Linked DNA regions of Stegostoma tigrinum. The protein of the gene in region 1 interacts with the protein of each later gene in a pairwise test. Links are inferred from orthologs where the notes say so. Each region holds a gene or a part of one and is shown on either strand. Other genes may lie near its edges. The genes, in order: creb3l1, tmem218, pgap2 and gpr25.

The links.
Region 2: the proteins of creb3l1 (region 1) and tmem218 interact in binary tests that used the Homo sapiens proteins (3 or more experiments, as listed by UniProt). The link is inferred for Stegostoma tigrinum from reciprocal best matches to the Homo sapiens genes CREB3L1 and TMEM218.
Region 3: the proteins of creb3l1 (region 1) and pgap2 interact in binary tests that used the Homo sapiens proteins (3 or more experiments, as listed by UniProt). The two-hybrid records come from large-scale screens. The link is inferred for Stegostoma tigrinum from reciprocal best matches to the Homo sapiens genes CREB3L1 and PGAP2.
Region 4: the proteins of creb3l1 (region 1) and gpr25 interact in binary tests that used the Homo sapiens proteins (3 or more experiments, as listed by UniProt). The two-hybrid records come from large-scale screens. The link is inferred for Stegostoma tigrinum from reciprocal best matches to the Homo sapiens genes CREB3L1 and GPR25.

The regions. Positions count from the first base shown.
Region 1 is NC_081370.1:475,799-482,814, reverse strand, and holds the start of creb3l1 (cyclic AMP-responsive element-binding protein 3-like protein 1), read right to left. Parts: upstream 3,007-7,016; 5' UTR 2,641-3,006; coding exon 2,542-2,640; intron 1-2,541.
Region 2 is NC_081385.1:30,801,484-30,809,023, forward strand, and holds the start of tmem218 (transmembrane protein 218), read left to right. Parts: upstream 1-4,518; 5' UTR 4,519-4,578; intron 4,579-4,928; exon of another isoform or gene 4,929-4,950; intron 4,951-7,540. UniProt on the Homo sapiens protein: May be involved in ciliary biogenesis or function.
Region 3 is NC_081359.1:111,740,135-111,748,043, reverse strand, and holds the start of pgap2 (post-GPI attachment to proteins factor 2), read right to left. Parts: upstream 3,009-7,909; 5' UTR 2,795-3,008; coding exon 2,784-2,794; intron 2,723-2,783; exon of another isoform or gene 2,009-2,722; intron 1-2,008.
Region 4 is NC_081374.1:27,294,694-27,301,070, reverse strand, and holds gpr25 (probable G-protein coupled receptor 25), read right to left. Parts: upstream 1,821-6,377; 5' UTR 1,625-1,820; coding exon 527-1,624; downstream 1-526. UniProt on the Homo sapiens protein: Orphan receptor.

The DNA.
Region 1 (7,016 bases):
AGAGAGAAGAAACACGTGCTAGTAGGAACATATGCACGTTGCGACGGGCACACTCGAACCACAGAGCCATCAACAAACAGCCACTGAGATACACTGGCAAAGTCATACAGGTAGTCCAAGCACACAAATAGACACAGGCACACACAAGGAAACAAAAATGCAGGTGAAACAGAACAGAGACATGAGTGTGCAAAGACTTTGTGCAAGTTGGTCAAACTCAACATTTGGCTATGAGCAAGCAGGGAATCACCTGGAATAAAGGACACAGGCCAGGATATGCAAGTCAACATCTCTGACAGTGCAGCACATTCTGGATACTGAAGCCGAGATTACAGGCCCATGTTTCTGAACTGGGACGTGTAATGACAACTTTGTAACTTGGAAGATGCAAGTGCTAGCAAGTCGTACAACCCAGGTATGAAACAGACTAACAGCAGGAACTTAAACAGGAGCAGGCCAAAAATAAACCAGGAAGAAAACTGGTAAATACTGAAAGCAATTAGGAAAATGAATCTAGAGCAAAAAAAACTAGCAATTTCCTGAGAGCAAGCTGGGAGACTCATATAGGAAGAAAATAGGCCTAAACACAAAGCCTAAAGCAGAAACAAAACTAATAGTCACCAGGGCAAAACAGGAAAATACTCAGAAGAAGCAAACGTATAAATCCAGGGTTCAAGTCCCACCAGCTCTAGAAGTGTGAGAGAACACTGTTGAAAAGATCAGTTAGAAAATATCTATAAATTTAGAACCAGAAAGTAGCAGGAACAGATTAAGAACCAGTGAGGGTTGCACTGGTTGGAGGAGCGATGTGAGAGTATGAGGCTTTAGAACAATCAGCTTGAATGACCAATAAGACATCATCACGAATACAACTTTCGCTCCATCTTACCAAATGTTAATGTAGAATCTATAGGTGATTAAACAGTATAGACATGACTCAGCCACACCATCCCAGCCATATGGCAATAGATGCATCTATATAATAACTGTAAAGAAGTATTTAAAGATTGGGTCCATTAGCCATATAGTGGAAAATAGCAAACAATGGATATTCATTAATCCAGTGATAAGTATAATACAGACAGTATTAAATGTGTATAGTTTTTTCATATGCCATATTCTTTATATACTATATTACAATATATTAGCAACACATGCTATATAGAATGGTGTAGATGATACAGTATAGTACCATATTTGCATTTGTTCTACATAATGCAATGGACACCAAACTGTTCCACAGATGAAATCAGAGCACATTAACTGTTCCTAATCACTTTAACAGAGCTTGCCTGTCTCACACTCACACAGGACTGGTCCTGTTCACTGCACTGCATTCTAAAAACCTGCACTGCCCTCCCGCATCCTAATGGAGCTGAATTGTCTCCCTTTACTCCACTGGGACCAGACTGACTATCACCAGCATTTTCACACAAACACCTTTCTTTAGGTAAACATCTCCTGAATTGAAAAAAAAATTATTTCTCAAATACATTCCAAATGTAGGTGCTCGGTGCTAAAATTCATAATGTACCATTCTGTTATAAGCTGCTTTATGTGGTGGGAATTCCAGCTCCCCAATTATTATACTAACTCGCCAGCAAATGAGCCCTGTTTTCTGAGCTGTGTTCCATATAAAATACAGCAGAGAACTCCAACTAAGTGGAATATCCTGCAGTAGGATGTGCACAGCTGGTTTCCTTTCAAGCAGACATATAAAGTGAATCCACAACGGTCTGAGTCAGCTCAGAGACACTGATTACAGCTGAAGTTTGTATTAGTATTATCAAGAGCCGGTTGACATTTCACTTTGTTGGGGTATGGTTTAATTGAAAACCACAGAGAAGGAAAATATGTCTTGGAGGGGTAGCACATCTGTGTGAGTAAGTGTTTTTGTGTTACATGACTTGGTGAGTAACTGAATCCCTGGGAGTTTGTGTTTGTGAGGATCCCTGTACCTGTGTGTATCTGTCTGTACAAGCTTGTCTCAGTGTGTGTGTTTGTGAGGATCCCTGTACCTGTGTGTATCTGTCTGTACAAGCTTGTCTCAGTGTGTGTTTGCAAATACATTTGTGTGTACTCTGTCTGTGTATGTGTGTGCGTGTGGTTTCTGTCTCCTTCCTCACTTGTATCTGTGTACGTTTATGTCAGTTTCATTATGTGTGCCAGTATCTCTGTGTCTGTATGTATTTGTGCATTGTTCATGAGTGTTTCCGTGTGCATGTCTGTGCGTTTCTGTATTTTTTTAAATATTTCTGTGTGCAGTGTGTTTCCGTGGTTTGTACATTTCTGTGGTTTGTATATTTCAGCGTGCATGTCTGTTTTGTTTTGTCAGTACATTTTTATGCCTCTTCTATGTTTCTGTGTGTCCAGTATTTTCGTATAGAGTTTGATTTGTGTGTGTGTTTGCGTGTATTTCAGTCCTGGTCTGACTGGAACAAGCACAAGATGAAGTGGAAAAGTAGTAGGATGTTGGAGATGGAGAGAGAGTGCAGAAGGAGCTCTGTACAGAGAAGCGAGCTGCTTAGCCCAGAAACTTACCACATTGGTGAGGAAATCGGCTTCGTTCAAATCTTCCAAGTCCACAAGGCTTGAAGCTGCGAAGAGTTTCTCTACTCCAAAGTTATCCAGGATATCCATAGTGGCTGACAGAGCTGGGGAGGGAAAGTGGGGGTTGTGGTTTAGGGGATCCGGTGGGATCGTGCACGATGCTGGAGCTCAGGGGAATAGCCTTTAGGAGCCCGGGCTCTTTAACCCGTGCTCCGGGCTTTGCTAAAGGCTTCCCCTGCCGTTCGGAAAGCTCGGGCTGTGCCGGTGCAGCTCTCGCTGTGTCTGGGAGCTCTCTGATGTCTGTGTTTGATGTCAGTTTCACACAAACTGGTAGCCAGCTGCAGATTCTGGGCTCGGTCTCTGTCTATTGGCTGTCTCTCTCTCTCTCTCTCCTTCTCCTTGTATGAACTCCGACCCAAACTTCATCTGACTGTCACTAGCCAGTTCACACACAGTCCTCACACCTCCCCACCCCCCACCAACCCCCACTCCAAGACATAACGTCACTCCCCTCTCTGCACTGTTAACCTTTTCAGTTCTCTGAGCCAGCAGCTGGAGAGCAGGTATTGTGTTAAACCTAGATCCCTCTCCCTCACAGTGCTGGGGGCAACTAGATAGATGTACAGATAACTTCAAAGTGCCAGCTGAAGGGCAACGACGGACCAATTTGACACCTACAAGAATAAACCTCCTCCATTCCCCAGCTCCGTCCTGCTGCCCTTGTCCACTGGGTAAAGCCCAACTGTTGCCACAGCATCACCATTTTTAGCCACCTACACCCTCCTGTAACAGGTAGTTTTTGACTTGATTTCTTATTGTGATGTGCCAAAAGTACTGTTTTGCCAGGCAAATTGTACCCTACATCAGGGCAATAGAACAGAATGCCGAATATAGTGTTACAGCTGCTGAGAAGGTGCAGAGAGAGATCAGCTCTCATATATGAGAGGTCCATTTGTAAGTCTGATAACAGCAGGGAAGAAGCTGTTCTTAAATCTGATGGTACGTGTTTTCAAATTGTTGCATCTTCTGCCCGATGGAAGAGGCTGGAAGAGAGTGTAACCGGTGTGGGAGGGGTTGATTATGTTGGCTGCTTTTCCAGGCCAGTGGGAAGTGTGGATGAAGTCAATGGAAGGAAGGCTGTTTCTCGTGAGGGACTGGCCTATGTTCGCACTCTCTGTAAATTCTTACAGTCTTGGGCAGAGCAGTTGCCATATCGAGCCATGATCCATCCGGATAGAATGTTTTCTATGGTGCATCCATAAACGTTGGTCAATCCTTGTGGACATGCTGAATTCCCTTAGCCTTCAGAAGAAGTAGAGGTTTTGGTGTGCTTTCTAGACTGTAGTATTGAGGTGGATGGACCAGGACAGATTGTTGGTGAGCCTTACTCTAGGAACTAGAAGCTCTTAACCACTTCCACTTTATCTTCCACCCTGCTTCCTGAAGTCAATGACCAGACTTCACAAGCACATGTTCTCTGTAGCCACGTCAAATTGCCAACCAGGGAAGTGCCCACAATATTCTGCATTTTCCCACTGCGTTTCACCAACAATAAAGGTCATGGTACACCTTCCGAAGAAGGTCGCCATTTTAGTGTGGTGGACACCATCCCAAGCCGTGAGAGGCCAGCATCCATTACCACGGTTCTGCCCTCACTGTCTCTCAGAGCTGGGTTAGGATATGGCCCTCATCCTCACTTTTGACCCCACCATATTCAAGTCAGCATCTTCCACCAGCTCTGGCATCATGTCACCACTGAATGTGACCTCCCAACCTGACCCACTTCTATCCAAATTCCATCAGGGACACCCTGGTTCATCCTTAAACACCCCCCATCCATCACTCATGCAATTACAAGAAATATAACAGATGCTCCCTACAGCCTTTAAGACTGAACATTGAATTCAGCAACTTCAGAGCAGGAACTGAGTCCAACAATTTTGTCTTTTTTTGACAAATACCAGTGGCATTGTTTTATGCCTCTGCTCTAACTGAGCTGTGCTTTATTGTGCTATTAACACTGGACCAGCGCTTTTTTTAAAACTACAACCATTACTGTTCCCTTACCCTGCTTTCCACAACATCTTTGGCATTTAATGTCCCCTTCCCAACCCTTCCTTTAAATGCCTCCTGTTTGTTTCAGCTTCAGTACGATACCCATCGCATTTTCTCCTCTCTTTCCAGTTCTGAAAGGTAGTCATCCTGAAAGCAACTTCACCTCTCTTTCTCAGATACTGCCAGACCTGCCGGGTCCTTCCCTGGCTTTCTGTTTTTACCCACCCCAAAGACTTGATGTGCCAAGACAGCGACGTCTTAACAAGGCTGAACGTTTTTAAAGGGTAGGAGCAGAAATGAGGTAAAAAGAGAGTTTGTAGAATCCCAATGGCATGGAAGTAGGCCATTCGGCCCATCACGTTCACACCATCCCACTGAAGAGCATTCCACCCAGACCCTATCCCTACATTTCACATGACTAATCTATTAACCTGCACATCCACGGCCAATCCCTCTGATGTGGACATCTTTGGACCGCGGGAGGAAACTGGAGCTCCTGGAGGAAACTCCCACACACACTGTGCAAACTCCGCAGAGACAGTCACCTGAATCAAACCCGCACTCTGGCCCTGTGAGGCAGCAGTGCTAACCACTGAGACGCTATGCCACTCTCTGCCATCGCAATTCATAATTCCGTGCTGCAGTGTTCATGTAGATGTGCATATTGCAACAACAACATGAACTCCTTGTGTGACTGGACCCACCATCTCACGTGTCACAAGTGAGTTACACACCGAGTGTCTCCATTTATTTAATTTGCTAGTTAAACACACAGTTAGCCATATGTCGCTAGTGACTGTGGCGTCGGACAGCATTGTAGCTGCGAGGAGGTTGTACCTATTATAAAGGAGGTAAAGGACAGCAAAGGATTGAATGGGGAGCCTCCAGGAGAAAGCTCACATATGCCCCCTGGTGGACGACCTGCTGAAGACCATCTTTGCTCCCCCAGGTCATGCAGGTACATGGCTGGAGGAATATCATGAAGACAAAACAGGAATGAGGAGAGGAAAATAAACCATCTTCAAGGGAATTGCAGAGTTAAGAATTTTAATGGAATTCTGTCATTCTATCGCACAACAATTAGAGCTCTAAGTGTGGAGAAGCTGTCTCTGCAGCTGTGAGATGTAAAAATAGATGTGTATATTTTGATGACTGAAATGGTCTTTAAGTCTAAAAGTGTCCTGTTTAAAAAAATGTATATATTTCTATTTTTTGCACTGAAAACAGAGCTGTTAAATATAGCAGATCAGGCAACCCAGCAAACTTTGGCAGCTTTAATTATTCTGTGGGTTAGACTGAACTGTTGTTGGAAACAAAAGCAAAACACTGCAGATGCTGGAAATCTGAAATAGAAACAGAAAATGATGGAAGCAACATCTGTGAAGAGAGAAACCGAGGTAATGGGTCACAGGTTGCCAAGGAAGATAACAGATTGAATAAATACCCATTACTTATGGTTGAAAAGGCATTTAGCACGCTTGCCCTCATTGTTCAGTCCTTTGAGTATCAGAGTTGGGACATGATGGTGAGGTTGTACAGAGCACTGGTGAGGCCTCTTCTGGAATACTGTGTCCAATTCTGGTCACCCAGTTATAGGGATGATATTATTAAGATGGAGATTTACCAGGATGCTGCTGGGTATGGAAGGTTTCAGTTGTAAAGAAGGGCTGGATAGGCCGGGCCCAAAATGTCAGCTTTCGTGCTGCTCTAATGCTGCTTGGCCTGCTGTGTTCAACCAGCTCTACACCTTGTTATCTAGGGTAGGCTAGGACTTTTTCACTGAAGTGTAGAGGGTTGAGAGGCAACCTTATTGAGATCTGGAACAAATCAGAGGGGTATTGATAAGGTTAATGGTAGCTGACTTTTCCCAAGGATGGATGATTTCAAGACCAGGTTAAGGAATTGGGAAGTAAGCAGATGGTGGGGGAGCAAATTAGATTGAGTGAGTTTGAAACCAAATCGGCTGCAGAAAAAGAAATAAAGAGAGATAGTTGAATATTGGTTTAAGAGAAAGTAAAAAGTGAGTCAAAGGAACAAAAGGAAGAAAAGAACTTAATAATTAAATGTGTTCTGAGGAAGGGTCACTTAACCCGAAATGTTAACTCTGCTTTCACTCTCCACACATTTCTACAGTAAAAGGAGAAAGACTTAAAAAAAGACAAAAAGACAAATTTTTTACACAGAGGGTGGTTTGCGTATAGAATGAACTTCCTGAGGAAGTGGTGGATGTGGGCACAATTACAATGTTTAAAAGACATTTGGACGGGTACATGAATAGGAAAGGTTTGGAGGGATATGGGCCAGGAGCAGGCAGCTGGGACTGGTTCACTTTGAGATTATGTCTGGCATGGACTGGTTGGACCGAAGGGTCTGTTACTATGCTGAATGAATGTGTGATTCTATGGATCAGC
Region 2 (7,540 bases), on another chromosome or scaffold:
TCCTTGTTTGAAAACTAAAAATTACATTAAAATTACAGTAAGGCAAATCAATTTAAATATTGTATGGTTCCACCAGTGACTGTCTGGTTGCCAATTCTCTCAAGAAAGAATTTGCACTGACCTTTCAGCTGTGGCTCCATTGGTAACAGTCACACTTCTAAGGTACGAGGATTTGAGTTTAGGTCCCACTGTAAGAGTGAAGCACCAAAAGCAACAGTCCGATGTAGTTTAGAGGGAGTGCTGAATTATCAGAGAGGCTGTCTTTAAGATGAGATGTTAAAACAAGGCACCTGTTTGAGTGCATGTCAAATATTCCATGGCAGTCTTGAGGCGAGCAGGGAATCTAATCCTGGTTAATAAAATGTGGGGCTGGATGAACACAGCAGGCCAAGCAGCATCTCAGGAGCACAAAAGCTTTTGTGCTCCTGAGATGCTGCTTGGCCTGCTGTGTTCATCCAGCCCCACATTTTATTATCTTGGAATCTCCAGCATCTGCAGTTCCCATTATCTCTGAATCTAATCCTGGTGTTTTGGCCTACATTAATCCCACAATCAAAGTCACAAAACAGATCATCTGGTCATTATCATCATAGTGACCGGAGTGATATCAGCCAGGTATCAGCCTTATAGAATATGAGTTGCCTGATTGGGGCTGCTAGCCTGGGCTAATCAGGGAGTCTTGCTGACAGAATGAAACAGGACTGTCAGAGATTCTGTTCATTCTCAGAGCTCGCACTGAACTGGCTGGGTCAGTGTTATGTGCTATGCATGTGTAAATAACGGGTGACTTGGTGATGGGAAACTGGCCTTCATAGAGTTATTTCAATCACGTTGCTGTTTGTGGTGGTTTGCTGTGTGCAAACTGGCTATGAAGTTTCCTCCATTACAACGTGAAATATATTTCAAAACTCATTTCATTGACTAAAATGCAATGAAATTTCTGGTGGTATGAAAAGTGCTTTGTAAATATAAGACTTTCTTTTGTTAATATAGTGCTTTGTGAAGAACTTTTGTTTGAATAGCAATTTTCATGTAGTTGAGATATGCCAAAGTAGTTTAATTTACAACCAATTACGTACTTCTGAAGGGTTGTAACGAAAGAAAAATGGAAGATAATTTGCATTCAGTACAATCCCACAAATAGTAAAGAGATAATGACCAAGCATTAGATTACCTTATAGATCTGATCACTTCAGTAAAAAGAAAAGTGACCATGGTCCTCAGAAGATCATGGATTGTGCTGAGTTTAGGCTGAGGGTCACGCTTTTGGAGGGGTGGGGCAGGGGGAGCTGGGATGTTAATAACCACTTTAGGTATAGGTAACTATATATTAACTCTACATTAGGTCACTGTACGTTCACTCAATCAATTAGATTACTCTGTACATTAACTCTGTGTATTGTTGTGAATTAATCAATATATTAACACTGAATATTGTCTCTTTTTGATTAGCCCTATATGTTTGATCTGCAGTAACTCTCTGTATGTCATCTTTGTATATTAAATCATTATGGATATCAACTCTTTGTATATTAACTTTGTATGTTAACTCCCTGTATTGTAACACTCTTCAATGTTAACTCTGAATATTAACATTGCAACCAGACCTGACGTCAGGTTCCCCAATTTGTTATAGTTCAAGATGGGATACCCAAATTGTTAAGCTCCTGGGTGAGGAATGAAGAGTCTCCCTTTCTTTATTCACTCACCTTTACAGTCACAACACCATCGTGAAATATGGATCAATCTCTGAATTGTTCATGAAGACCACGCTGCTGTGTGGATAACATCAACTTTGTCAGTTGACCAATCAATCTCAAGATTCTTTGTTTTGTAAGTCAATTGAAATTCCTTTGACTGGTTTCTCTTGAACTTGTCAGAGTGAGAGACAGTCTTACCTTCTTGTTTTACTTGCAGTGCATTGTGATTGTTCTCAAATCTGTAGCCTTCACAGCTCTCTCGCCTACACATTAAGATGTTCAGACAACAACATAGGCAGGCTAGTGTTGCATGAATTTTATGAACTCTTTCTTTAGATATTTCTTAAGGGTAAAACAGATGTGTCTGCAAGAATGGATTTCTGCTGAGAGGGAAGTTCGTCAGCCCTCTCATCATCTCTCTGAAGGGTCACTGGACCTGAAACATTATTGCTTTTTCTCCACAGATGCTGTCAGACCTGCCAGGTTTTTTTTTTAGCAATTTCTGAATTTGTCCCTTGTTAATTTCTCGTTAATTGTCTTCCTGATTCCCTGACTGTTTGTAGTCACGACATTCCCCTGGCTTCACAATGGACTTTGCCAGTCACTGAATTTAAGGAGTTACTCTTTTTCTATAGCAGTTATTTATTTTAAAGCTTGGTATTAAGTAAAACATGTCTGTAATATTTCGGAATTCTGACCTGTCATCATAATGTTAGCTTACTCTCTATATTAACTCTTTGTATATTATGTCTGTATTTCAAGTCTCTGTATAATAACTTACTGTATATTAACTCTTTACATTAGCAAACTGTAAATTGAGATCTTTTCCATTGGTTGTCCTCATATAAAGTCTGAATATTAGATCCTTCTGTATATTAAGTCACTGTATATCGAGTCTGTATTAAAACTGTATATTAGAGCACAGGACATTAACTGTGTTTTATGTCACGGTACATTAATTCTATATTAGATCATCTTGTATATTAACTATGCATATTAATATAGATATGAACTCTGTATATTAGATCCCTGTTTATTAATAAAGTATATTAGATAGCAGCATTTAAAACTGTACATAAAGTTGTTCCGTGTATCGACTCTCTGTAAATTAAATCTTTATATTACTCCCTGTGTATTAACTCTGGATATTGGATCACTCTGTACAATAACTGCTTATTAAATCAGTGAGAGATCACCATCAATAGATCACTGCATATTTACTTTTTGTATAATAAGACTCTAATTTAGATCACTGCACACTAATTTTCTGTATATTAATTCCATACTGTTTAGTTGGCTGTATATTAATTCTGTGTAACTCTAAATATGATGATTATACATTAAAGCTGTATATTAACTATATGTTAGATCACTGTATATTACCTATCTTTATATTAATTACGCATATTAAACGATTATATATTCACTCATATTTACTATTTTAGATGACTGTATATTAACTGTATATTAGCTTTCTATATTTGATTACTACATTCATTCTCTGCACATTAATTCCCTATATTACATCATTGTATATTTATTGTATGTTGATTTACTATTTATAAACTCTATATCCACTGTGAGTTAGATGACTATTAGCTGGCTGTATATTAACTCTCGATATCAGATCATAGTATGAACTCTTCATATATTAACTATATCAGATTGTGACAGCTACTGACTATCTTAATTATATCAGAGATAATTGGAACTGCAGATGCTGGAGAATCTGAGATAACAAAGTGTAGAGCTGGATGAACACAGCAGGCCAAGCAGCATCTTAGGAGCACAAAAACTGACGTGTTGGGCCTAGACCCTTCGTCAGAAATGGGGGACGGGAAGGGGATTCTGAAATAAACAGGGAGGGAGGGGGAGGCGGATCAAAGATGGATAGAGGAAAAGATAGATGGAGAGGAGACAGACAAGTTAAAGAGGCAGGGATGGAGCCAGTAGAGGTGAGTGTAGGTGGGGAGGTAGCGAGGGGATGGGTCAGTCCAGGGAGGATGGACAAGTCAAGGGGGTGGGATGAGGTTAATGAACATCAAGCAGATGTTCACCTGCACATCTGCCAATGTGATATACTGTATCCACTGTACCCATTGTAGCCTCCTCTACATTGGGGAAACCAAGCGGAGGCTTGGGGACCACTTTGCAGAACACCTACGCTCAGTTCGCAATAAACAACTGCACCTCCCAGTCGCGAACCATTCCATCTCCCTCTCCCATTCCTCAGATGACATGTCCATCCTGGGCCTCCTGCAGTATCACAACAATGCCACCCCCTCCCCCATTTCTGATGAAGGATCTAGGCCGGAAACGTCAGCTTTTGTGCTCCTAAGATGCTGCTTGGCCTGCTGTGTTCATCCAGCTCCACACTTTGTTATCTTTAATTATATCAGATTTCTATATTGGCTTTATATTAACTCTTTACAACAAATTATTTTATCAACTAATTATAAATTAACTCTTTATATCAGATCATTCAAATAATTCTGGTATATTATCTCTACATCAGGTCACCATATTAATTGTCTGTACATTATCTCTATATCAGATCATTTTATTGACTGTATTTAACTTTCTAAATCAGATCACTATATTAACTCTATATATGAACTCTCAAATTACTTTATTTACTCTCAGTATATTAATTTTCTTTGTTAGATCACAAGATGAACTCTGTAGATTAATTCTGTATCAGATCACTATGTTAAATCTGTATTCACTCTTGTTGCACTCAGACGTAGACAGTTACCATGGCATTTTAACCTGAATGTATGGGAGCCTCCTATTGGTTGAGACACCCTTTGGGCCAATAGGCGCGATGGATGTTGCAAGGTGCTGCTTCTGCTGCGAGTTGCTAGGCTGGCATATGCAGGTTTGAATTCATCTTCATTCGGGGAGAGTATTGGGTATTGGTAAAAGGCAGATTAATGATAATGTTGGAGCTGCTCTTTTCAGACTAGAAACCGCATGCATGGAGCTAGCCATTTTTTGAAAGAGTTTGGGTCGAGGTGAAGAGATGGGTGTTATATACCCTCTAGTTGGATCAGACAGTAGCCCATCAGGTACAGAATGGTGTTGGGAAGTTTCCCAGAGGGATTGCACTTTCTGGAGAGGGGGAAGATGTGTTTGGTGATGGAATAAAAATGGCAAAGCACTCTTGGAAGGCACCGTGCCCTGTAAACTTTACGCGCGCACAACTGCGAAGTAGCCCATATTTAACAAGCTTTAACAGCATAACTCTTCAGTAAGTTGGCTGTGTATTTCTTCCGTAAAAAAGTTATTTCTGCTGGAAGGTGTGCACTAGAGGTTCTTATATAGACGTGAGGAGGCAGTCAACAAAATACGCAATGACAATGGGACATTTCCAGGGTCATGTTTATTTAATGAATAAGCATCTCCGCTGCTCTAGGACGGATGGTCCGTGTCTCCATCAGAACATATTCAGCAATTGAGAAACTGGGTGTAAGGAACTTGGGTTTTTCGCATGAAGCAGAGTGCAAAGACTTCTTGGTACTGATGAACATGCAATTCATATCTGGAGAAACAAGTTTTGAGACAAAGAAGTACTGGAAGCAGAGGGAAAGGAAGACTATCTGAAGTATAGTAAATGAAAAATAACATCCGGACTAGAAGCGGAGTAACAAACAGCACTGACACCTCAATTTGTCTTGGATGGGGTGAAGGAGCTCGTAAAAACCGAAAGAACTGTGGATGCTGTAAATCAGGAACAAAAACGAAGTTGCTGGAAAAGCTTAGCAGATCTGGCAGCATCTGTGCAGGAAAAGACAGAGTTGATATTTCGGATCCAATGATCCTTCCTCAACAGGAGCATGTAATTGATCCTAAAGAGGATGAGACAAAGAAAGCTCAAAATATCCAACAATCAGAGATGAAAGAGAAGGAATTTTCATAGCTTTTAGTTGGAAGAAGTGTGTGGCGTTAAAAGTTTATTTTTCCAAAAAAAACGTGTATCTAACCGTGATTGACATTAAACTCCACAATTGTAGTTGCAAGGAACAGCAGAAGAGCCAGAAAAGAAATTTAAACCAAGTCTCAGAATTGGGAAGGCATCAGAATCTGGAATCAAAATATACTTAGATAAATTTAGTCAAAGGTGTAACAGAACAAGAAAGGTCTGGAATAATTAAAGATTTTAAATCAACATAATTAAGTAATTACATTTCAGTGTCAACTGAAATATTTTAAAAGAATGCAGCAAGAAAACATACATTAAAAATGTGCAGAAGATGATGCTTGGTGTTTTGAACTGTGAAAAGGAATATCCATTTCACCTGAAAAGAACTAAAAAATCTGTCTTAGCTGCAGAAAGTTACAATGTCATCAAAAAAGTAGGTAGCTATCATTTTGATTATTAAAAGGGGTGGGAAATACTCTGAAAGAAGTGGAAAAACCCAGGAGGTAGTAAAGAGATGTAGTATTACAAAGAAATGGATTTAAAAACCACTCATTTGTTACAGAAGAGTGAATAGTACTAATTAAAGTCTTATTAAGTAATTAATACATTATAATAGGAATAGCAGTAAAAAGACTGGGATGTCAAAGAAAATACTGTAACATTGCTGTGATGGGGAGTTCAGCAAGGTCTGTTTAATTTACAACTGCATATGTGAATGCAAGTTTGAAGAATAGAGTTATAGAATATTGAATTAACACCGATTTTAAATTTATCTACATTAATAAGATTAATCAGTACCTTGTGGGGAAAAAATGGATAAAGATGTAAAAATATTTCCAAGCTATTCAAAGGTTGAGAAGGAGCATGCAGAACACAAGACTAAATTTCATTGGAGATGACAGTTCTTCAAATGCAGGATTGCTTCAAAATCAAAAATTAAATGCAGAAGTAGCTCACAGTCACGCTGTTGCAGAAGGTGAGATTGTATACGCAAGGACCTTTAGAAAATATAACTGAAGCATCAGAGAGGAAGTTGGTGATCCCAACCATCTGGGATTCAAAGAAGAGAGATAACAAGGTGTATAGCTGGATTAACACAGCAGGCCAAGCAGCATCAGAGGAGCTGGAAGGCTGACGTTTTGGGCCTAGACCCTTCAGAACACCCAAAGGGCCATGCTGTTTGACGTAATGACTAATCTTTGAGCCTTACAGCCCACATACCATAGTCTTTGCAGACGAAGAACATGTACACACATTATGCCCCTTTCATCTTAATAGGTGACGAGTATTCTTTGGTTCATTCCTCAGCAAAGCCTTGACCAATCAGTGTCAACCTTTTCGTCAGAATTTAAAAAAGCTTAGTAGTTATTGAACATTGTTTAACAGGTGCATTCTGCATGACAATGTCTGTACCAGTTAGAGTTCACATGCTGTAGTGGAATAACTGTCAGAAGCATAGAAGTCTACAAATTACAGAACACTAAAGTGGACAGAAGAAAGTTGAAAATGTGTAAATTGTTCACAACCAAGAAACTTCACGTTAAGCCGGCAAACATGTCACATCTTCAACTTTCTTAGGAGAGTCGAAGGAGTTTGACTACCTCCCAGAGAACAGTTGATCCAGAAACAAACAGTTGTCATCCAGGCTGATCTTGGGGAAACTTTCACTGGGCTTCCTAGATGTGGTGGAACCTACAGGGTTCTAATAAATGTACTATAGTTTTATACATTGTGTAATGGAGTATACCATGAAAAACAAAAATTTGGAGTGGGAGATGTTGGATAAGGTAATGGTTCTAAAAGAGGTTAATGTTTTTGTTACATTGGTTCCACCCATTTGACTGATGTTACGTACAATTTGTGGGTGGAGATGAGATCTACGCAAGCTCTCAGGGAGAGCAGATGTATCTGTCCTTAA
Region 3 (7,909 bases), on another chromosome or scaffold:
GATTTTTTCTTCACAGATGCTGCCAGACCCGCTAGCTTTTCCAGCAACTTCTGTTTTTGTCTCTGAGTGCCCTCTATTAGCCTGCTCTGTTATTGCCACGTTACCCAGATAAATGGCATCTTGGGGCAGACTTTGTCAAATGTTCTCTATAGTCCGCTAAAAAATGACACAGGCTGATGATACTCCAAATGGCAGTCTCGCATGGATGAATGGACTCTCTAGTCTCAAATAATGCTGATGTTGCTAACTTTGATCTCGCCTAGCACATGCAATGTAACCCATATGCCTCTGTCTACACACTTTTACAACCTTTGATCTGTACATCCTGGCTTACTAAGATCTGCCTGTACTGCTTGTAAACAAAGCTTTTCACTGTATTCCAGTACATGTAGCAATAAATAAATCAATCACAATTGAGGATAAGCATGGCTCATGTCACTTTCGTGGAGGACAGCCCCCTCCCCCATCCCCACCAGTTTTGCGTACAAGTCCTCTGTGCAAGAGATTAGATATTTATCCAGCCATGAAAACTGGTTTACCGTTTGTTTGAAATTCCCATAAAAGCAAAACAACCCTTTGAGCTTCATAATTGGCACAACCAGTGCTGCTCATTCTGCAAACTGCCGCTAGTTTGATGATTCCTTCACTTTCCAGGATCCTGATTTCTGCCTCTCTTTAGTACATAGGGTAAATGGCACTGGGTGGGCCTTGCAGAATTGTGGAATTGCTTTGTGATCAACATGTAAGGTGGCCTTGGCCCTTTGATAGTCCCTAGATCTTTTTGAAAAACCTCTAGGTGTTTATTTAGGACTTCACTCATGCAGCTGTTTTCTAATTGAAACATATTGCATCAGCGAAGTTGAATCTTTCTCAACCACATTCAGCCCATCAAGCTCAGGCCCAAGCCTTTTCCTACAATCAGTTGTAACTGAACCAGCTGCTTCTCCTAAGAGACCAGAACCAAAATTGTGCCCATAATCTGTAGAGGGTTCCCGGTACAGGTTTTCAGCCTGGCCGAGGTCTTACACAAACTTAAGGCTTGGAGTCCAGAGCAAATTTTAGTACAGACTGGTTCTGCAAGCACTGATATCAACCTCCAATAGAACGGAGTGACTATTTCACCAGATGCTTCTTTTGATAGGTTCTGATTTGGGTGTTGTTAAGCAATTGAACTGTTCCAAACCAGCTGTCAATGGTCTTTCCAGGGTGTGCATTCTCCTGGATATTAGCTTATTACTCAATTCAGGAGTGGTGTTCCCCCAAGCTCAGTCGGTCTGGCGAGGGTCTCCACTTCTGTTGGAATACCCCGTAACTCACAAGCTCTGCATGCTATATTTTCTAATGACAAAACCAGTTCTGGTGCCTGTTTGAAGTCTAGGTAGGCTTCAGCTAGTAGGTGCTTTTGCATGGTCTCATCATCAATCCCACGTACCAAACAGTGTCTCAGCATCTCTCTTAGGCTTCAACCAAAATTGCAATCCAACTCTCGTGACCACTGAAGTAACTGCACAAAGGTAGGTATCCCATCACCAAGTCACCCTTTATTTACACATGACCTAGATATCTCAGGGCTGGCACTCCTGTTTCTATCTGTCAGCCAGGTCTCCCTGCCTGGACCAGGTTCCCCAACAGGGAACTCATAGTCTATGAGATCCACCTGGCTGACCTTGTTCCAATCACTACAGGGTTGCTACTGACCAGAAACTAAATTGGAACAAGCCACATAAAATACAGATGCTGGGAACACCTAACTCCCCAAAGCCTGCCCACCACCTACAAGGCCCAAGTCAGGGGTGTGATGAATACTCCCCACTTGCCTGGATGGGTGCAGCTCCAACAACACTTATGAAGCTTGACACCATTCAGGACAAAGCAGCCCACTTGACTGGTACTACATCCACAAACATCCATTCCCTGCACCACCGATGTTCAATAGATGCAGAGATATCATCTATAAAATGCCCTGCAGAAATTCACCAAAGCTCCTTCACACAAGTCCAATATTTACCGCCCATCCTAATTGCCCTTGAGGAGGTGGTGGTGAGCTGCCTTCTCGAATTGCTGCATTCCATGTGCTGTAGGTTGACCCACAATGCCATTAGGGAGGGAATTCCAGGATTTTAACCCAGCAACACTGAAAGGACAGTGATATATTTCCAAGTCAGGATAGCGAGTGGCTCGAAGGGGAACTTGCAGGGGGCTGGTGTTCCCATGTATTTGCTGCCCTTGTCCTTCTAGATGGAAGTGGTTGTGGGCTTGGAAGGGGCTGAGTCCCCATCACTGGAGCCTGGCCAGTGGGTCACTTGATCCTGGTCTGTGGGTTACTGGATCATGTTTAATGGGTCACTGGTTCCTGGCCAGTGGATTGTGATTAGTGGATCATTGGATCTCAGTCAGAGGGTCCTAGTCAATGGATTATAATCACTGGATCCTGTTCGGTGGATTGTGGCCACTGGATATTAGTGACTGGGTTCCACAGTGGATCACGGTCCATGGTTCCCATCCAGTCGCTACTGGTCACTGGGTCCCAGTCAGTTGTTTATTGGATCGTTGTCACTAAGATTGGTCAGTGGGTTCAAGTCACGAGACATTGGTCAGTGGGCCACTAAATCACAGCATGATCAATGGATCCCGATCGATGAGGATCACTGCGTGTGGGTCAGTGGATCCCGGTCGGTGGGGTTCACTGGTTGCGGGTCGGAAGATCTCCCTCAGGCCGCGATCCGACGCCGGGTCTCTCTCACTCGGACCCCCTGACAGTGACGGACGGCCCCGGTTCTCACCTTTCCCCCATCGCGGGCCGTCCTCCTGGAATCACCGAACAAACTGCTCAGAAACCCCGGGAAATCCTGGCCTCGCGGCCCAGCCGCTTCCTAAAAGCCAGGTCCTCGAGTTCAGGACCATCAGCAGCGACGGCAACCGGCGAAAGGGGGCGGAATGGGGCCCAAGCCACCGAGAGATCAGCACCAGGAGGGGGCGGGGACTAGGAGGAGGAGGCGGTGCAAGGATAGACGTCGGAGGGGCGGGGCATGGAGAGGGGCGGGGACTGGAGTGAGGGGGCGGAGCCTTGTGGTTTGGGGACTGAATGGGTCTTAGGGAAGGATGGTGTTGGTGGGAATTAGAGGGTATGGGACTGGAGTGGGTCCTTGGGGGAGAAGAGTGTGGCCTGCAGGAAGGGAGGGATGGTGTGACCTGGAGTGTGGGAGTTTGGGGAGGGAAAGGGGTTGGGCCCTGTTTTCACAGCGAGCCTCAAGGCGTTTGATGTCTTTCTGAAGCTCCTCCAATTTGAACAGTGTTGGGCTGGTGATTCCCAAATGTCTGTGGGAATATAGCACTTCGCCAGTGAGGCCAGGCCATAAGGATGTCACTGAAGAGTGCACAAATATAGAATTTATAGGCAGAGAGATCAAAAGCAGAAATTTCTCTGCCTATAAATTCTGCATCTGTGTGCACTTTCTCACTTCACCCAACAAAGGGGCTGCACTCTGAATGCTTGTGATTTCAAAGAAATCTATTGGACTATAACCTGATGTCGTATGACTTCTGACTTTGTCCGCCCCTATCCAACACCAGCACTTCCAAATAATGCTCTCAAAAGCATCCAGTAAGGTTTTGTCAATGGTTTGGAGTACATCCCCTGAGTCTGCATACATCAAAAGTATGAACATCATCATCTGTTAATGGCAGCTGGATGACACTTATTGGGGTCATTTTGGTTTTGGATATTGACTAATTTCCTGCTGGTTCTGTGAGTTAGCCCCACTCCAGTGGAGTCTTTGTCAATGGTGAGTTGAAGCATTGAAGTGAGGTAGATCAACAATAGTGTTGGGGCAATGATGCAGCCCTGCTTGACATTGGTCCGAACGGGGAATGGGTTGGTGGTGGCACCATTTCTCATCATGACTTCCATGTCATTGTGGAGCAGGCAAAGGATGGTGATAAACTTCATTGTGCAGTCAAAGTGGAGAAGGATGCTCTGTAATGGTACCTGATTGACAGCATCAAAGGCCTTTGTAAGATCAGAGAAGGTCACTTCCAGAACAAGTAATACAACAGAGAGTATAGAAAAGGGCAGGAATCTAAATTCAGGCATTGCAGATAATGGGATAACTATCGGAAGAGGGACTGATGGTGTTACACTTAAATAAATGCAGCAAATGAAACAAGGTAAATGAGTTTCAGAGATAATGGGAACTGCAGATGCTGGAGAATCCAAGATAACAAAATGTGGGGCTGGATGAACACAGCAGGCCAAGCAGCATCTCAGGAGCACAAAAGCTGACGTTTCGGGCCTAGACCCTTCATCAGAAAAAGCTGACCAACTGAATATCAAATCAACCTTCTTCTCTAACCCTCCCTCTCAAAGGGGAACACGAGAACTGGAAGACCACTATCTCAACTTGTGAACCCTGGTAAGTTGAACCAACCAAATGCATAACATCCAAATCTCTAAGGAAGAGCCACTGGACCCAACACGTTAACTCCAATTCCTCTCCTCAAATGCTCATTACCTGCTGAACTTATCCAGCAATCTTTGTTTTTGTTGTACTATATCTGATTCTTTCACCTTGTGAAAATGGTGGCCATTGAACAAGAAGTTTTGTTTTTTATTTGTTCATGAGATGTGGCTGAGTTACCATTTATTGCATATTGTTAATTGCCCAGGGGACAATTAAAAGTCGACCACATTGCTTGTGGATCTGGAGATCAGGTATGGATGTCAAATTTAATTCCCCAGAGGGCCTGAGTCAACCAGAAGGGTTTTGTTTTGCCAATTAAGAGTGGTTAAATGGTCCCTGTTACAATAGCTTTCCATTCCAGATTTTTATTGAATTCATATTTCACAATCTGCTATGGAAGTATGTCCCCAGAACATCAGCCTGTGGTTCTGGATCACTAGGCCAATGATATTACCAAGAATAGCAAGGAATGGTGTAAGTTTTTGTCTCCAGTATGTAGGTATTGATTCAGACAGCCTCTGAGAGGGTGTCTTTCTCAGGCGGAATTCAGTTTAGCCACTCTTATACTCAGCTGGGTGCTGCCCATCTCTGTTTCACCTATTTCCAACTTCTGTCCCATGCGTACGGGAACTACTGACCTTATACTCTCTCAATATCATGTACGCATACATTGTTTACAATTCATTCTTGTTCAGTAAACAACAATCTTCTGTTGGTTTGGCAAAGTTGGGCTGGGCGTTACCAGTGTACGTTTGGGATCTGAGGATTTTGCTGAGGGGCAGCTTGGAGGTGAATAATAGGAGGAGGGGATCATGGACAGATCTTCAGGAGACCTTTGTAAAGGTACCACACAGAAGGCTGCTAAACGAACTAAAAGCCTATGGTGTTTGGGCAAGGTACTGGCATGGATAATGTGGAAAGAGGCCATTTGGCTTGCATAGACCCTCCAAGAGCATCCCACCCTATCCCTGTAACACCAGGCCATGATCATGGCTAATCCTCCTAGCCTAAAAACATCCCTGGACCATGGGAGGAAACCGGAGCACCCAGTAGAAACACACACAGACACAGGGACAACATGCAAACTCCACACAGACAGTGACCATGCTTGGGATTGAACCCATGTCCCTGGCACTGTGAGCCACCATGCCACTCTGAGAGTCCAGAGAAGGTTTACAAGAATGATCCCAGGGATGAAGGGCTTGTCATATGAGGAGCAGTTAAATACTCTGGGTTTGTACTCAGAGTTTAGAAGGATATGGAGTAATGTGATTGAAACTTACAGAACTTCAGCAACAAACCCAAACAAACAGACAAAACGGGCTCAGAAACCATAACCACTCTCCCCTACATCAAAGACATTTCTAAAATGACTGCCAGACTACTCGGACCTCTTGGCATCAGGGTAGCCCACAAACCCACCAACACACTAAAACAGCAGCTAATGAACTTAAAAGACCCTATACAGACAACAAATAAAACGAACGTCATCTACAAAATACCTTGCAAGAACTGTGACAAACACTCCATTGTACAAACTGGCAGGAAGCTAGCCACCAGGATACATGAACATCAACTAGCCACAAAACGACATGACCCACTATCACTCGTATCCTTACATACAGATAAGGAAGGACACCACTTTGATTGGGACAACACATCCATCCTAGGACAAGCCAAACAGAGACATGCACGAGAATTCCTAGAAGCATGGCATTCCAACCGGAACTCCATCAACAAACACATTGACTTGGAGCCAATCTACCATCCCCTGAGAAAAAGAACAGGAAATGACATCACCAACCCAAGGAAACCTAACCAGATAAATAGAAAGCGGGACATAACACCAGCGCTTCGTCGAAGGCTCACTGATGATGTTACCTAGAATGGTGACGAAACGTCTGAAAACTAACCTTCCAGCTCAGCGAGCAAACTCACATCCAGATCCTCAACCTGAGCTACAAATCTTCTCAAAACTCACTTACAGAATACCGACAGGGCTGGATAGAGTGGATGTGGAGATGTTTCCATCAGTAGGAGAGATTGGGACCTGAAGGCACAGCCTCAGAGTGAAGGAACAACCCTTTAGAACTGAGATGAGGAGGAATTTCTTCAGCCAGAGGGTGGTGAATCTGTGGAACCCATTGCCACAGAGGGCTGTGGAGAACAAGTTATTTAGTGCATTTAAGACAGAGATAGATAGGTTCTTGATAAGTAAGGGGATCACAGCAGGGAGAAGGCAGGAAAATGGAGCTGAGAAACCTAACAGCCAAGATAAAACAATGGAGCAGACCTGATGGACTGATTGGCCTAATTCTACTTCTTTATCTTATGGTATCATAGGGGACCAGAGGAAAAAGAAAGAGAAGCTGCTGTAGGGCCTCTTTCCATGCTGTTTGCACTCTGACTCTGACTCAATGATAAGAGAAAGACCAAAGACCCACCCTTGCATGAGCTTCAGTTGTCATACAGTTTGACTAAAATTCAGTACCATGTGATAGAGGTTCTCCAAATGAACAATGTGAAAATATTGGTTTTGCTCCCCACTATAAACTCTGGTCACTGGCTTCCAAATCCATTCCTGGCCCTTACACCGGACTGAGACTGAAACGTACCAGTTTAAACCTTAGTCTCGCATTCAATCCCATGATGACTTTTCAACCAAATTATCACATCACCCAGGTCCCTAATATTGCCTGGATTCATCCCTATCTCCACACATCTGCTTCTGGAACCTTCATTTATGCTCAAGCTCTGATTACTCTAATGCTCCTCTTGCAGGATTCCCACTTCCTATCCTCAGTAATTTGCAATAACAAAAAGGTAGAAACTTGTGGCAAACCCTATTCACCCTCTGCTCCTGTGTTCCTTGATCCATGTTGGTTGCTTCGATTACAGGGTTCTTTAACTGGTGTTTAACTCTTTCCGTGGCTTTGCCTCCTCCCTATCTCTGTCATCTCCTTCAATCCCACAACTCTCTGAAATCTGTTTGTGTAATTCTGGCTTCTTAAATGTCCCTGATTTTAAGCACTCGACCACAGGCACTGGCAATGATGTCTTCATCTGTTTGGGCCCTCTGCATCACTTGCTCTCTTTCTTTGAATGAGGCAGGTCTTGATGTTTCTGTATGTCCTTCTGCACGTGCTTCAAAGCCTAAATAAGTACAAGATGATGCACAAAATTTTATTGGAGCATGGAGAAAGAGAGACAGAGAAAACTCAGGAGAGAATTCCAGAGTGCAGAGCCCACATTGCTGAAGGCCACCAATGGAGTCATAGAGCTGTACAGCATGGAAACAGGCCCTTCGGTCCAACTCATTCACGCTGACCAGACACCCCCATCTGACCTAGTCCCATTTGCCAGCATTTGGTCCACATCCCTCTATTCACATACACATCCAAATGCCTTTTGAATGTTGTAATTGTACCAGCCGCCACCACTTCCTCTGG
Region 4 (6,377 bases), on another chromosome or scaffold:
GCTGTCGAGTATTTTGATGGAGGAACGTGTTCCAATGAGTTAATTGCTAAATACACATTTGTGGCTTGCATAGCTGCATGTCTGTTACTAGTTTCCTCTGAGAAGTAATCAGTTTTGTTTACTTTTTAAAACTTTAAGTTTCAAACTTGCAATGATAGCAGAGAACAAGAACCAAGGGAAAAAAGGTAGGTTTGATTAAAAGTTTATTTAATTCGATATAAAACATTAAAAGCAATCCAAATACTTTGGTTACATGTTAAGAAACATGCATTGCTTTTCAATGACGACAGAGCAAGCTGATCTAGACGTTCGACACTCGGTGAAAGTGCAAACGCAAGTCAACTATTCAATGCAACACATTTGCTCTTTTGTCGAACAGAATTGGGCTCAACCTCCCCAATTTTCAGATACATTTGTATGAGAAGCTTGCAAAAATCTCTTTTCGAACAACAGCCCTTTACGTTTTAGCTGTAGACAGATTTAATCAGCAATACCAGCTTGTCTGGTACCTGTGTACAGATAACATTCACTGTTGCGACAGAAGACTCTGTATTCTAAGCATTGTGCTGCTCTCTGAAGGTGTTGACCCAGACCCAAAGCTCCCGCTTCTCTTGCCCAGACCGGCAAAAACATAAGAAGTGAGCCAGCCAGTTCTCTGCCTAAAATTCCTGTCTAAAAATGCATAAATGATCGGGTTCACGCAGCTATTAATGAAAGCAATGCACGAAGCAATGGCCAAGCCTCGGCTCACTACTGTCCAGCAGGACAGGTCGGTGTCGCGAAACTGCAAATACAGAGCAATCGTTTTGAACACATTAAAGGGCAACCAGGACAATACAAAAGCCGACACGATGGCGAAGACAATTTTCAGAGAGTTTTCCCGTCTCTGGATGGCTTTCGTGCTGTGGCCATAATGATGCCGGAGCTTGACAAGGATGGAGCAGTAGCAGAACAGGATAATGATAACAGGCAGGACAAAGGTCAGGCTGACAGCGGTCAGATTGAACACTCGGAGGAAGAGGGAATCCGTGTCCTCCCTGCACTGGGTCACGTTCACTTGGTCAGGTTTTCGAAAGTAGGCGGAAGGTACGGCCAGAAGCAGAGAAGAGACCCAGATCATGACACTAATGGTCACGGCGTATTTCTGGGTTCTGAGGTGCTTGAAGTCCCGTAGTTTCACGATGGCTAGATATCGGTCAATACTCATACAGGTGAGGAAGAAGATGCTGGAATACCTGTTGACAGCAACAATATAGCTGCTGATCTTGCAGAAGGCGCTGCCAAAGTTCCAGTGATGGTCGCTGATGGCTGATGCTGCCCAGAATGGCAAGGTGAAGACAAAGATTAGATCTGCAAAGGCCAAATTAATCACAAAAGTATCTACCAGTCTCTTCCTCCTCCTTTCTTTGCAGATCATTACCAGGATGACAAATATATTCCCCAAGGACCCAACGATGAAAATCAGGTAGTAGAGAATTGAGATTGCGATGTTGAGGAAATGTAAATTCTGAGGAGGACAGATTCTTCCGTCTGTGTCATCCACATAATCGTTGTACTCCGAATAGGGAGCATACTCAGAAACTGTGTAGCCGTGCTGCTCGGTGACTCCAACTGTAGCGGACATTTCGGTTCTGGTAGCTGCAAGTTTGCTCTGACTTCGAAGTAACTTATGCCAAGCTGCCAAAAGAATGGTTTCAGCAATTTCCTTGTTTTCGTCCACACAAGTGTCAATGGCGCACTCAAAAATTCGAACTTCTGCAGTTTGCAAAGTAGAGACGGTCTGAAATATTAACGGAGTACAGAGATGGAAGCTTCAAATCCCCCCTTTTTTATAGTGGTTTCAAGTTAACTGATCTGAAGCTGTTTCCGATGTCAACATGCCATTGGTCTGGTGGCACAGGAAATAACAGTACATGATGAGGTCGGGAGGTTGGTGCAACACTTCTAACTGCTCCTACAATCAACTAAGAGAAGCAACACCGAAATACACATACCTCATCCTTTTATAGATTTTTAAATAAATGTTAAGTCCTTACTTTTATAAGAATATACTTTATGAGTCAATACAATGAGTTATTCTTCATATGATATGAAAAATGGAAACAAATGTTCAAAAAAAACTTTGGCCCCATGGTTTCAAAAGTTCTCAGGTTCCCTGTTGTGCACACTAGATCATTGTCATCTTGCCCATCCAACAAATTACAGTGCAAAAATGCTTTGAGCTGAAGATATCAGGCAAAGTCTAATTAATGGCACACACCACGAGATACTGTATTCCAACAAGACAAGATTCCCAACATGTTTTTACCATATCAAAGCTGCCCAAAATAACAAAATTAATCAAAACTAATCTAATATTTTAAATTCTATGTGTGTTTCATTAAGTATATAATCAAGTTTGCTTAGAAATTGTTTTTTTCTTTACAGATCTACATTTGGATATCTTGCAGGGTAGATGTTAACTTGTTAAGTGTAACAAACTACAGAAACCCATATAAGAATGCTTATGAAAGCAGATTCGAACATTAGCAAAATTAGATTGCATGGCTTGATAAGCCAACTTTATAAGCATGCTATCAAATTGGACTAATATACATTTATTTTGATATACAAGAAAGATCAGTTATTTGGATAGACTAGCAAAGCTGAGATCATTGTTCTTAGAGCTGTAAAGGTTAAGGGGAGATTTAATACAGATATTCAAAACTATGAAGGCTTTTTGTCAGAGTAAAGAAAGAGAAACTATATCCACTGGCAACTGTGTCAGTAATCAGAAGACACTGATTTAAGATTATTGGTGAAAACACCAAGGAATAGATAAAGTGTTTTCTTTTTCATAATAAGGGACAAGGGATTTTATTTTTATGATCCGGGCTGCACTGCCCAAAAGGCTCAAAAAGTAAACGTTTTTAAAGTAATATTGAAAGAGCACGGTGCTGAAGATAATTGGATAGCTCTTTCAAAGAGTATGCACTTAAACACGATGGGCTGATTGGTCTTCTGAGCTGTACAATTCTGTGTCATTACTCGTATCTACTAACTAATGTATTAATCAATATTTCTGCAAATCACATTAGGCAGAAGTGACCCATTTTAAAAACTCTGCCATCACATTAAATTATTTACACAACGGGAAAGTGCTCAACTGAAACCTCATATTCACAGTTCATATTCATCAAAGTACCAGCACCCAAAATATAATCATTTGTGGTTACTTTGTGCAAATTCAGTTAGGCATGAACTTCATGTAACATGTTATCTTTCTGTTTAGTTACAAACACATTGTAGGTCAGGTTGACCTTTTTTCAGTACATATATTAGACATGCTTAATTTTACTACTTTGTAATACAAGGAGTATTAGCAAATAAATATTTTAAATAAATATTACAGATCAATTCATGGGCATCATCTAAAACCAATTTATTTCTTACTTGAGTATTTTTTTCTCAACAAGAGAAAATAGAAGTTCAAATTGCAATTGCTAAAATTAATATATTACTGATCGCTTGGAACATAACAAAGGTAACTCCATTATATATCTGAGGAAAACAAGCGAGGATGTTTTCTTTGTTGAAAAATATTGAAAACTGTGAAAGAACAAAGATATTTAAATGCTTACATCCACGAAAGCAGTAACAACTTGTGCAGACGTTTAGCATTTAGTAGCTGATGAATGTTGGTCTTTCTGTCAAGGCATGTTCTTTTTGTTGCAATACATAAGTAGGAAGAGATATTCCAATTATTCAATGCTTTGGCTGGACACTACCTGTATACCCTGTACAGTTTGGGGCTTCAAACCTTAAAAACATATTTTAATCCTAAAAAGGGTATGAAATAAACAGAAATAAATTAAACTGAATTATGTTGTATCCATGATCTAATTGAGAGGCAGGATGGGTTCAGTGGGCTATTTGTCTAATCCTGTTCCTTTTGCTTCTATGCATTGTAGCTCATCCCCTGCATTCCTGCAACAATGCATCTCATCTGATTTGTAATGTAACGTTACTTATTCATCGTATGGCAATGATTTTTAAGCATTAACTGTCTTGTCATAGTGGATTTATTTAGTTCAATTGTTGATTTGTTGCTACTCCTGGACTATAATTATCTATGCAACAAGTGTGTATCTGAAATAAAGGGCAAAAGAAGACTTCAATTTATAGCAGAGAAGATTAAGAGGTGACCTTATTGAGGTATTCAAAATTACGATCAATTTTGACAGAAAGATATTCTGCGTCCACTAGTAGATATTTGAGTGACTAAGGGTTACAATTTCGAGACTATCAGCGAGAGAGCCAGAAGTGATATGAGAAGAAACTTCTTTACTCAAGGAGTTGTTCTGATTTCAAATATGCTGTGTGACAGAGTGTTTGAGGTGGATTCCATGGGAGGTTTCAAAAGGCAGCTGGATATATAGTTGAAAGTGCTAAATTTAGAAGGGTACAGAGATAGGGTAGCTTGTCCGGGGGACGGTACAGACATGATGGGTTGAATGGCCTCCTTCAATATGGTAAAATTCGATGATTCTCTGTAAATGTTTTCTGTAGAACTGTTTCCTCATGACAAGCTAATTTGCTTCTGTAGTCAAAAGAACAGTGGCAAATTATTTGTGGACAAAAAATGTCACCATGCATCTTCTTCAACAAAGCAGCATAAATTCAAACTATAAAGGCAGGTACTTGAATTGCTCATTCATAAAAAATAAAGTGTAAACAATTAAAAAGTTTTAATCTACCTAAAACTGAAATGCCTGCACCAATGAAAAGTTTCAGAAGAATAGAAATGCATCAAAATGTTGAAATGATATAGTTTTAAATCCTTGATATTGAAATTGCACTCAAGTGAGCTAGTTGTTTAACTTTTGCATCAATTGCATTGTCCCTGTTTCACATCTTCTCTTCTTGTTTCAGACACGTATTGCATTTTAATCTCAAGATCCCTTCTTTGAATTCACAATTGATGCATTACATCAGCACATGCTATTCTTTCAACCCCAATTCTAAACTGAATTTGGAAGCTCACTGTCACCATGCTAGTCATCCTCTCCAATAATCTGTGTCTCTGATAGCTCCATTCATTCTTCATCCTGCTAGCCCTCTGCTTATTATTACTATAGTCCTTCCTCATTCTATGTGTTTATTAATGCTTTGATCTCACATCTTGCATGCCAACTTCATTGTCCTTGCTTCATTCTGTTTTACTAAGCACAACACTATAAATAAATTGAAAACTTAAATGATTGATTTGAGCTTAACTAAATAATTCTTACTACGAGAGACATTGAAATGGTAACACCAGTTCAAGGAGCATGAATGACAAACAGTCAAGGGTATATATTTCCTAGCATAACTGAAGATGTATCATAATAAGATTTGGACAATATTTATAATGAAGAATTTTACCAGAAATAACTTCACAAATTATCAAGCAAATTCAGAAAGATATGGAAAATGAACAATAAAGTTGAGATTATTTCTGGAAATTAATCACACTTAAATAAAATACCAAGGAGAAATAATACATTCCATTATTGATTTACTTGAAAAATAATCCCAATATGAGAACTCTAAAGCCTTTGTAACAAGTTTTAAAAAAACACAAGCTCACAGATACAGTGCAATATTACAGAAAATCCCCAGGCACTTATCAAACATCACATGTTATCACACTGTGTTCCCTATTCAGTTATTAACATCTTTGTTGTGTAACGGCTTTAAAGATATCACAGTGCTGCTTCTCACAGGGTATAGATAGCACTGTGTGTGTGGAGTTAGTCAGTTAGAGCAAAGAGAGAAGAACCATAGATCACTGTATCTGAACAATATAACAGTCAGTCCTGATTGTGGTATTCCTCTGATTACTACGTAGAAAGTATTAGCATACAACAAATAGAATTCTATAGAAGCCGAAGCACGAGGGGAGTTCTTACCTTTCCTTCCTAATTAGGCTGTCTTGATTCCAAATTTTCAGGTGTTGCCTTAAAACTGCACAAAAGAACATTCACTCAAGAATTTTTGCTCTAACCCATCTTATTCTTTGAATTAATTTAGCCATCAACATTTCCAAGTTTTGGTGACTTAGCTGATCTCAGCTGTTGATGACCTTGATCTAATCAGGTTTGGAAGGTGAAAATTATCCAGGGTTCTGGCATGATGAAGCTTGGGTGTGACTCATCAGCTGAAACAACTTGCTAATTCTCATAATTGAGAGGCAGCGGCATAATAGTAACTTGACTAGTAATTAAGAACCCTAGGCTGATGCTGTGTGTACATGGGCTCATAGCCCACCATGGCAGAGAATGAAACTTGAATTTAATGAATATCTAGAATTAAAAGCTAGCCAAATGGACACCACATAAACACTGTTGGAAAAATCC